2 linked regions of the Rattus norvegicus genome follow. The protein of the gene in region 1 binds, or shares a complex with, the protein of each later gene. Links are inferred from orthologs where the notes say so. Each region holds a gene or a part of one and is shown in the gene's direction. Other genes may lie near its edges.

Evidence for each region.
Region 2: Nod2 (region 1) and Map2k3 share a complex: the UniProt entries of both Homo sapiens proteins name them as parts of the signaling complex. The link is inferred for Rattus norvegicus from reciprocal best matches to the Homo sapiens genes NOD2 and MAP2K3.

What each region holds. Positions count from the first base shown.
Region 1 is NC_086037.1:34,582,615-34,586,260, reverse strand, and holds part of Nod2 (nucleotide-binding oligomerization domain-containing protein 2), read left to right. Parts: intron 1-3,304; coding exon 3,305-3,410; intron 3,411-3,646. UniProt on the Homo sapiens protein: Pattern recognition receptor (PRR) that detects bacterial peptidoglycan fragments and other danger signals and plays an important role in gastrointestinal immunity.
Region 2 is NC_086028.1:46,106,403-46,110,559, forward strand, and holds the start of Map2k3 (dual specificity mitogen-activated protein kinase kinase 3), read left to right. Parts: upstream 1-1,236; 5' UTR 1,237-1,398; coding exon 1,399-1,447; intron 1,448-4,157. UniProt on the Homo sapiens protein: Dual specificity kinase. Is activated by cytokines and environmental stress in vivo. Catalyzes the concomitant phosphorylation of a threonine and a tyrosine residue in the MAP kinase p38.

The sequences.
Region 1 (3,646 bases):
GGGCAGTCCTCCCAAGTGCTGAGACTACAGGCATGACCCACACAGCTGCCTTTTGCAGTTTTCTGTGTGGTATTTTCAACCCTGAACTCTTGAAGTTTTCATCTTTGCTTTGGCACTTGCAGCCTGTAAGGGCTATTTTTACTGTTTCTTTATTACAGCGACTTGCTCTTGGTTTAGGGAACGCAATCTTTTATGTAGACAAGATAATACTGTTTTTTTTGTTTGTTTGTATGATTGATTGAGTTGTTTAATTCATGCTATATACATTTTTGTGCTATTGATGGAACCCAGAGCTTTCACATGCAAAACAATCGCTCTACCACTGTGTGACATCACTCACTCCCTGTATAAACCTTCAAACCTTCTCTTCCCTATTAAATTGGCTCTGATCTCCTATATTTGATACTTTCTTTGGGCATAGGTAAGTCTTGGTTATGTGTCTTATTATTAAAAAGACAGATTGTGAAATTTACTGAGCAAGCAGGTGAAAGCTGTCCACAGTGATTTCCACCATAGGTAGTTAGGAAATGGTAGTGTATATAATAGTTTATAACTTTAGAACTTTTCTCCTGGGTTTACCAACTTCCTCAAATAGAAATCCTTCTGCCTGTGGTGAAGGCTGATTGCAGAGGTCTGGGAAACTGGAGGATGAGTGACCTGGGTAGTGGAAAGGTAACCTTGGCATTCATTTTCTACACAGTCATTTAAACTCTGTCTTTGGGTTATGGCTGTTGCATTATACCTGGGTTCTCCCTGTCCTGAGTTCCCTTTTCATCCATTCAGAATGCAGATCTCCAGACAGCATGGCAGGCAGGGACAGTGAGCAGCTGGCTAGTGCTTTGGGATGGGGAAGAAAGGCTGGTTCTCTATGTCATAAATTCTTGGACTTGTTCCTTGTCTTCACCGTCTCCTTGTGTTACAGACATACTTAATGCTGCCATGCCAGAGCTCTGGGCAGACTGTAGGGTGCACATGGCATGCTTTTCATTAGCAACATTTTGGTCTTAGGACTTAGCCTTCAGGAGTCTTCTACCATCCACCCATGTATCCATCCACCTGCCCATTCATTTGTTTGTCCGTCCAGCCACCTATGCATCCATCTATCTACCCATCTATCCATCTAGCCATTCATCTGCCCACCCACCCATCTATCCATCTATCCATTCATCCACCCACCCATCTATTCACCATCTATCCATCCATTTGTCTGTCCATCCATCCACCAACCCACCCATCCATCCACTTATGTATTTAACCATCCATCTATCTGTCTGTCCGTCCATCCATCCAGCAATCCACCCACCCATCTGTCCATCTTCCTGTCTGTCTGTCTGTCCATCTGTCTGTTCATCTAGCAGGAGTCCTTTCATACTGCCTCCATCATCGGGACTAAGTCAGTGAATAAGACAGAAAACCTGCTGTGATGCTCACACCTCAGCTGGGGATAGCCCATAGGAGATCGCAGAGTTTTGGAAAGTGCTGTGTGCAGTGGAGAGAGTCCCCACGGTGTGAAGTAGTGACTTCACCTTCCTGTAAGGTTGTTAGAGCATTCTCACTGAGAAGGGAGAAGCTGGGCAAAGACTTAAAGTAGGTGAGAGAGTTAGCCTTTAGCCTGCCACGGGCAGTGGGGATTAGCACTCTAGCCTGAAATAGGAGCATACTGGGCATGCTCATTAAACAGGAGGGAGGCCAATGCTAAGTGGGGCATTCAAGGGGAGGAGGAGGCAGTCAAGCAGTCAAGAGATGCAGTCTGGGTTCACAAGGTCACCGGCAAGGATGCTGTCTCCTTTGTCTCTGGAGAGTTTACCATTAGACTCAGGCCTCTACTACAGGGCCATGGCCGGGATGTTTTAACCAGGGTTGTGTGACTGACCTGTAAAGTACTCTCCTCTGAGTAGGAAGGAGGCACTCTCCTCTGACTGCGGTGTGGGGAGTAGGCTGTAGGCAGGAACAGTGCAGAGACTGGCAGCTGTACAGTTCCCAGGTAAGCCATGGTATGCCCTGTGCTTGGGAGCACGACAGCAGTAGGACTCATGCACACAGGGCTCCATAGCATGTAGACATCTGCTCCTGCATGGCTGCTGAGCACAGCCATATAGCTGGGCCACACCAGGAGTCTAAATGTACCAGCTGTAGAAGACGTAACAGAAAAGAGAAAAAAAAAAAGCAACACGTTCCACTATTTCTTATGCTGACAGTGTGTTGAAATGGCAGGATTTTGGATGTTGTGGTTAAGTATGATCTGTGACGAAGTACACCTAGCCCTTGTTGCTGAAGCATGTGGCTGTTAGGTCTCAGTGCACATATACCTTGCTTGTATGCGCTGGACTGTTTCTGTCGGACAGCTTGATTCTGGTACTTTGAAGGTGGAGACCACAGGACATGCTGACAATGTGCAGAGAAGGAACTGTAAGGTGACCTCAGATGCTGGCCTGAACAGCTAGAAAAATGGAGAAGACTTGAGCAGAGATGAGAAAAGGCATGTGTCTGGCATTCTTGACCAGCACACGTGTGTTGTGTGTGTGTGTGTGTGTATACTTATGACACATTCAAAAGGAAGAAAATGGGCAGTTAGGCGTGCGGGTTCCATACCTAACCAGGTAAGCCACAGCACAGTTTAGACTGGAGAAGAAGGTGAGTTCTGTATAGAGAGAGAGTTTAAGCATTTGGGCCATGGGACCTGGTACAGCACCTGCTATCCAGAGGTCTGCAGCTTCCAAAATCATGTTTTGCTTTTGTATGTTGGCAGGTTCATGTATTTATTTGGTCCTTTTTTAGCTTTTAATTTTCAGCTATTCATTCTTTCAGTGGGTTTTGGGAGGGAGCCAGGTTGGCTGTTTGTTTGTCTCACCAACCACGACGACATCATCTTTGTTTGCTAAGTGCAGACGGTAACGCAGTTGTTTTTCTGGGCTCTCATTATGCTAGAAGAGGACTGCGTATCGATTGTACTGTTTTCTCTTTTATCCTGAATGCTTGACGCCAGAAGGATTTCAGATATTTTTGGGGGTTTAGAATATTTACATAAACAATGGATACCTTGGCAACCCGACCCACGTCTAAGGACAGAAGTCATTTATATTTCATACATGCATGGCTGGAAGGAAATTTTACACGGTGTTTCAATTTTCCAGTTATGACATTGTACTAGTTAGCAGCACTCAAAAGGTTTTGGATTTAAGAGCATTCAGATTTGGGGTCTTCAGTTTAGGGGTGTCGAACCTCTAATAGAAACCTTTCCACACTGCTCCTCCTCCCTGGGTCTCCTTGAAAACAGTGATGGCCTTTCCTTTGTTGTCTGTAGGCAAGAAGACTGCTTGATCTCGCCGCAGTGAAGGCAAATGGACTGGCCGCCTTCCTTCTACAGCACGTCAGGAAATTACCAGCCTCACTGTCTCTGCCTTACGAGGGTATGTATTTGCCCCTTTGGGTTAACACAGATCCCCAGGTAAAGAGCAAAGCGCACGGCAGTTAGCATCCTCGGATTGAAGCCTAACGTCCCCTAGACTCAGTTCCTGTCTCTGAAGCCTCGCAGGGACCTGCAGCAGTGACGATAGAAAAGATAACGGCGCGGTGGCTCTCCCCTTTCACTGCTCCCCAAACCACATGATGCTCGCTGGAGCCAGTGCATGTGGAGAGAGAGCCA
Region 2 (4,157 bases), on another chromosome or scaffold:
TCTGTGATCCCTGGGCTGTTTGTCAAGTTCTCTGACTAACCCATTAAACTCCTCCTGTTTTGAGGGCCTTGTCTGAGTCACCCTGGTGCCTGGGAGGCTGGCACGGGACTAGAGTCACTTTACCCATGTCTGTGGCATGCTTTTCCTACTTCCTTTGTTCATTCCTTGAATAGTTCTTAGGCACCTACTATGTGCATGGCTCTGGGCTAAGCCTTGGGATACAGCAGGGGATGAGACATTCAGGATTCTTAATGGGGAGGGGCAGGTGACACGGGAAGAGGACTATAGTAGAAACCAAATATGCAAGCAAGGCATTCGGGGCCTGAGTGTTGGCCAGAGAGCTAAGACTTACTCGAGCTCTCGAGCTCTGACTGACTACTTGACTTTGTGCTTCTTGCCTTCACTAGACCTAGGTTTCTAACTGACCCCAGAGATTTCTGGCTAGTGTGAGGACAGAGGTTCAGCGACCAACTGCCGAGATGGAACCCCAGTCAAGGCTGGCCAAAGGTATTTCAATGTTTGGAATGACACTTTGTTTAATCTGAGACTATCCGGGGGCCCAGGACGTAGAGCTGCTATAATGTTACAACCAAAACAGTTACTTTGTCACTAGGCAAAGGTTAGCCACTGAATTCCCTGCTCCCTAGGTGCTGGCGTGCCAAGTGCTCTCAGAGACTGGACTTAAACGCGTGCTCGTTCAGCAAGGTGCAGTAAACTCTTTCCCACAGTCGGTGAACACTCACCTGGCACGCGCCCGCCGTGGGATCGCTCTTTTCCTGCTGCCCTAGGAGGCAAGCCGGTGGTCGCCGCTCTCTTCAGGGGAGCACATGGACGCTCACCCTCGGTATGGCTCAGCCATTTAGGAGTCCAGTCTCACTCAGGGAGCACTTTTAACCCCACCGAGTGCATCGGCCTGGCTCCGCACTCTAGAGAGTTTGGGATTTTCCAGATTACGACCGGCACACGCTGCGCCGTAGGGGGGCACAGGCTGGGGCACCCAGGACCACGCCAGCACAATCCCGCGAGTGGGTAGGGCTGTCATCTTGATGGCAAGAGGGCGGAGCCGGGCTGGACTAGAAAAGTGGGGGTTTGGATTCCGGCTGTTGGATGGTGGGGTTTGTACGTGACAGTCCGGGCGGTGTTTGATAGGCTGGGGCCTTTTCAGGCGGGCCAATCAGTACGATGGGCGGGGCCTACGTGGCGCCGTCGGTAGGCGTCCGGCGCTGCCCAGTGTGGCTGTGGCGCCGCCCGCCTCGGACGCTTGGAACTGTCGCGTCTGTGTCGCCTGTCGCCCATCGCCTGCCGCCGCTGCCAGCCACCAGCAACCATGAGCGCGCCCGGCCCCGGTGTAGTCTGCTGTCCTCTAGATTAGTGCTCTCCTCCGCGACGGTCCGCAGCATGGAGTCGCCCGCCGCCAGCCCGCCGGCCAGCTTGCCTCAGACCAAAGGTAGGCTCTCCCGCCCTACCGCGCGGCCCGAGCCACATTCAATTTGAGCCCGCCCGTGCCCCTGGACTCCTTTCCCGGCTGGGCACAGGCACCCGGACTCCAGCCCAGGACTGGGTCCAGCCCAAGCCAAGCCCGGGACCTCACGGGACCTCATTGGAATTCGGATCTTAGGCCGTGGGATTTCACCCAGGCAGGACCTTGTTCTCCTTACTCCACTCCAAGTCTGGAGCCGCACCGTGAGCTTCTTTCTTGTCCAGGCTTCCGGGCTTCATCCTGGACTCAGCTGGGATTTCTGTGATCCCTGCTAGAGGGTCTTTCGGCTGCACTAACCCCCTCAGGCCAGACTCTTGGATTTTGTTCAGGCTGGAATTTACTCTCTTCTGGGCCCCAGGGCTGTGTTCCCAATGCAGGAAACCTGTCTACTCTTGAATTCAGAACTCCTCTCTTCCAACTCTTTCCATCCTTGTGAGTCCTCCTTTGCCCCATGCCTTGCTGGCCTGCACACTGGCCGCCTGCACTCCTCCCTACCGCTGTACCTGTAGAACTTCCTGGCGTCTCCACTTCGCAGCTCAGCCCATGCTACCTGCTACTTGTTGACTCAGTTGCAATCTTCTCACTGAGTTTTAGGAGCTGACCTCTTTTTTGCACCTAGTGTTTCTTAGTCTGTTGCTCTTAGACCTGCAGTTTGGTCCTTGGGCAAACAGCAGGCCAGGGGCTGACTGTACAAGGCTTGGGCTTGTCTTCTCCAAGTAACTAACTGTCTTTCCTGGAAATTTCTGTGAGGTGGCAGTAGAGCTGCGTGGGCTGCAGCAGCAGCATTTGTCATGGGAAGTGAGGGGGACAAGATTTGGAGGTCAGAAAGCTTTTTTTTTTTTTCCAGGAAGAGAGAAGGATGTTTTAACATGTCAGAGACTCAGTAGGTTGGGCTGCAGAAAAGAGTTCCAAGCTGGACTGTAGATGTGAATGGGTTGACCCTCTGCATCCTGGGCTGCCTCACCTGGCTAGTTTCTGGACATGTCTAGGCCTTATTAATGAAATGGATATCAGGGGTGCGATGTGAGATTGAAGGTAGAGTGATTTGAAGCAAGCATGTCTGAGATGATCAAGGGCCCAACATAGCACCCGGCACATAGTAGGTACCCAGGGGAAAAATAGTTGCTGCACATCCTTGACTGTTTCCAGCTTTCTCAGCCCTGTGGGGTCTGGGCTCAGATTTGGATTGCAGGGGCAGAGCACAGAGGACAGGAATGGTGGGCACTTAAGAGGGTGCTTGTGCAGTGGTAGCCTTCTCTCCTTCTGACTTAGGAAACCTTGACCTCAGGAGTCCTAGTCCTGGTCAGGTTGTCCTGAGCAGGTGGGGGCTTTTTGGGTCCCCTGCAGCTGGCCGCCATGGCTGTGCAGGAGCCTAGTGGGCGGGGTAATTGCGTCTTACATAAGTGGGAGGCCAGATCCCTGACCATTGCCCAACTTCTGTGAGTAACTAGGGAGGCACTTATTGGGGGAGGTGGCTGGGGAGGGACTTGCAGTGCAGACCTCGTGGAACTTGAGAACCAGGAAATCAGATGCTGCTCCACTCAGGAAGGGTTTGGAAGCAGTGTTTGTTTTGGAGGCATTTCAGCTCTTCCAGGCAAAGAGATGCCTCATCAAAATAAAAGTTGCAGTTGCAAATCACAGGGGGAGAGATTGTGAGTGACATTGCAAAGCACTGTGCAGGGAGACGGTGGACTTTTCATGTGCTCGATTGACTTGAGGCCTGGCACTGGATGCCCGGGGCCTCTCTTCTGAGAGGGCTAGTGTGAATTTGCAGGTTGTAGGTTAGGTAACATGATATTGGATGGATTGGGCGGAGGTCCTTTCCAAGGCCCAAGATCCCTGTAGCCTTTTAGGGGTTTGGAGATAGCTGTAGTGAGGGACTGACAATATCCACTTGCTAAAGTTCCAAGAGCTTTTCCTTTTCTTTTTGCCATTGCTTTGTTTGTTACTCATTTGCCTGTGAACAGAGGCTCAGGAACACTAACCATTTACAGAGGCTACACAGCTATGATGGCCCAGCAGAGCTACAGCAGGACTCAATGATGATCTCCCCAGTGTTCCTTCCATTCCCATTCCCATGTGAGGTGCTTAGGGGGTCCATGGGACACTGGTACCCTGGCCCCCTGGCCATCACCCCTATGTTCACTGGACCATGGAGTCTGCTGAAGCAGAGGACCACTTATTGTGCACGCAGTCTTACAAGTGGACACTTCCCTCAATGTGAGCCTGCAACAGATGCAAAGTGGAGAACTTGGCGAGTCCACACCATTATGGATCCTGACAGGAACTCTTTTCCACCTTTGCAGGCGACTTAATTAAAAAAAAATCACACACACACACACACACACACACACACACACACACACACACATGCATACATACATGCCACAGCATAGCACATGTATGGGGTCAGTATACTTTGTGGGTGTCAGTTCTCTCAGTTCAGCCATGTGGATTAGCCCTCCATCATGTGGGTTTCAGGAATGGAACTTAGGTTGTCCAGGCTTGACAGTAAGTACTCTTACCTGCTGGGCCATCTTGCTAGCCTGTTTGCAGAGGACTTTGAACAGAGTAGGGAGTGGTAGCACCTGACCTTTGGCGGGGACTGCAACTTTATCTATGAACTTCCCACTGGACGGTTGTGCCTGCTGTTTGTGCCCGAGCCTAGGAAGTTCTC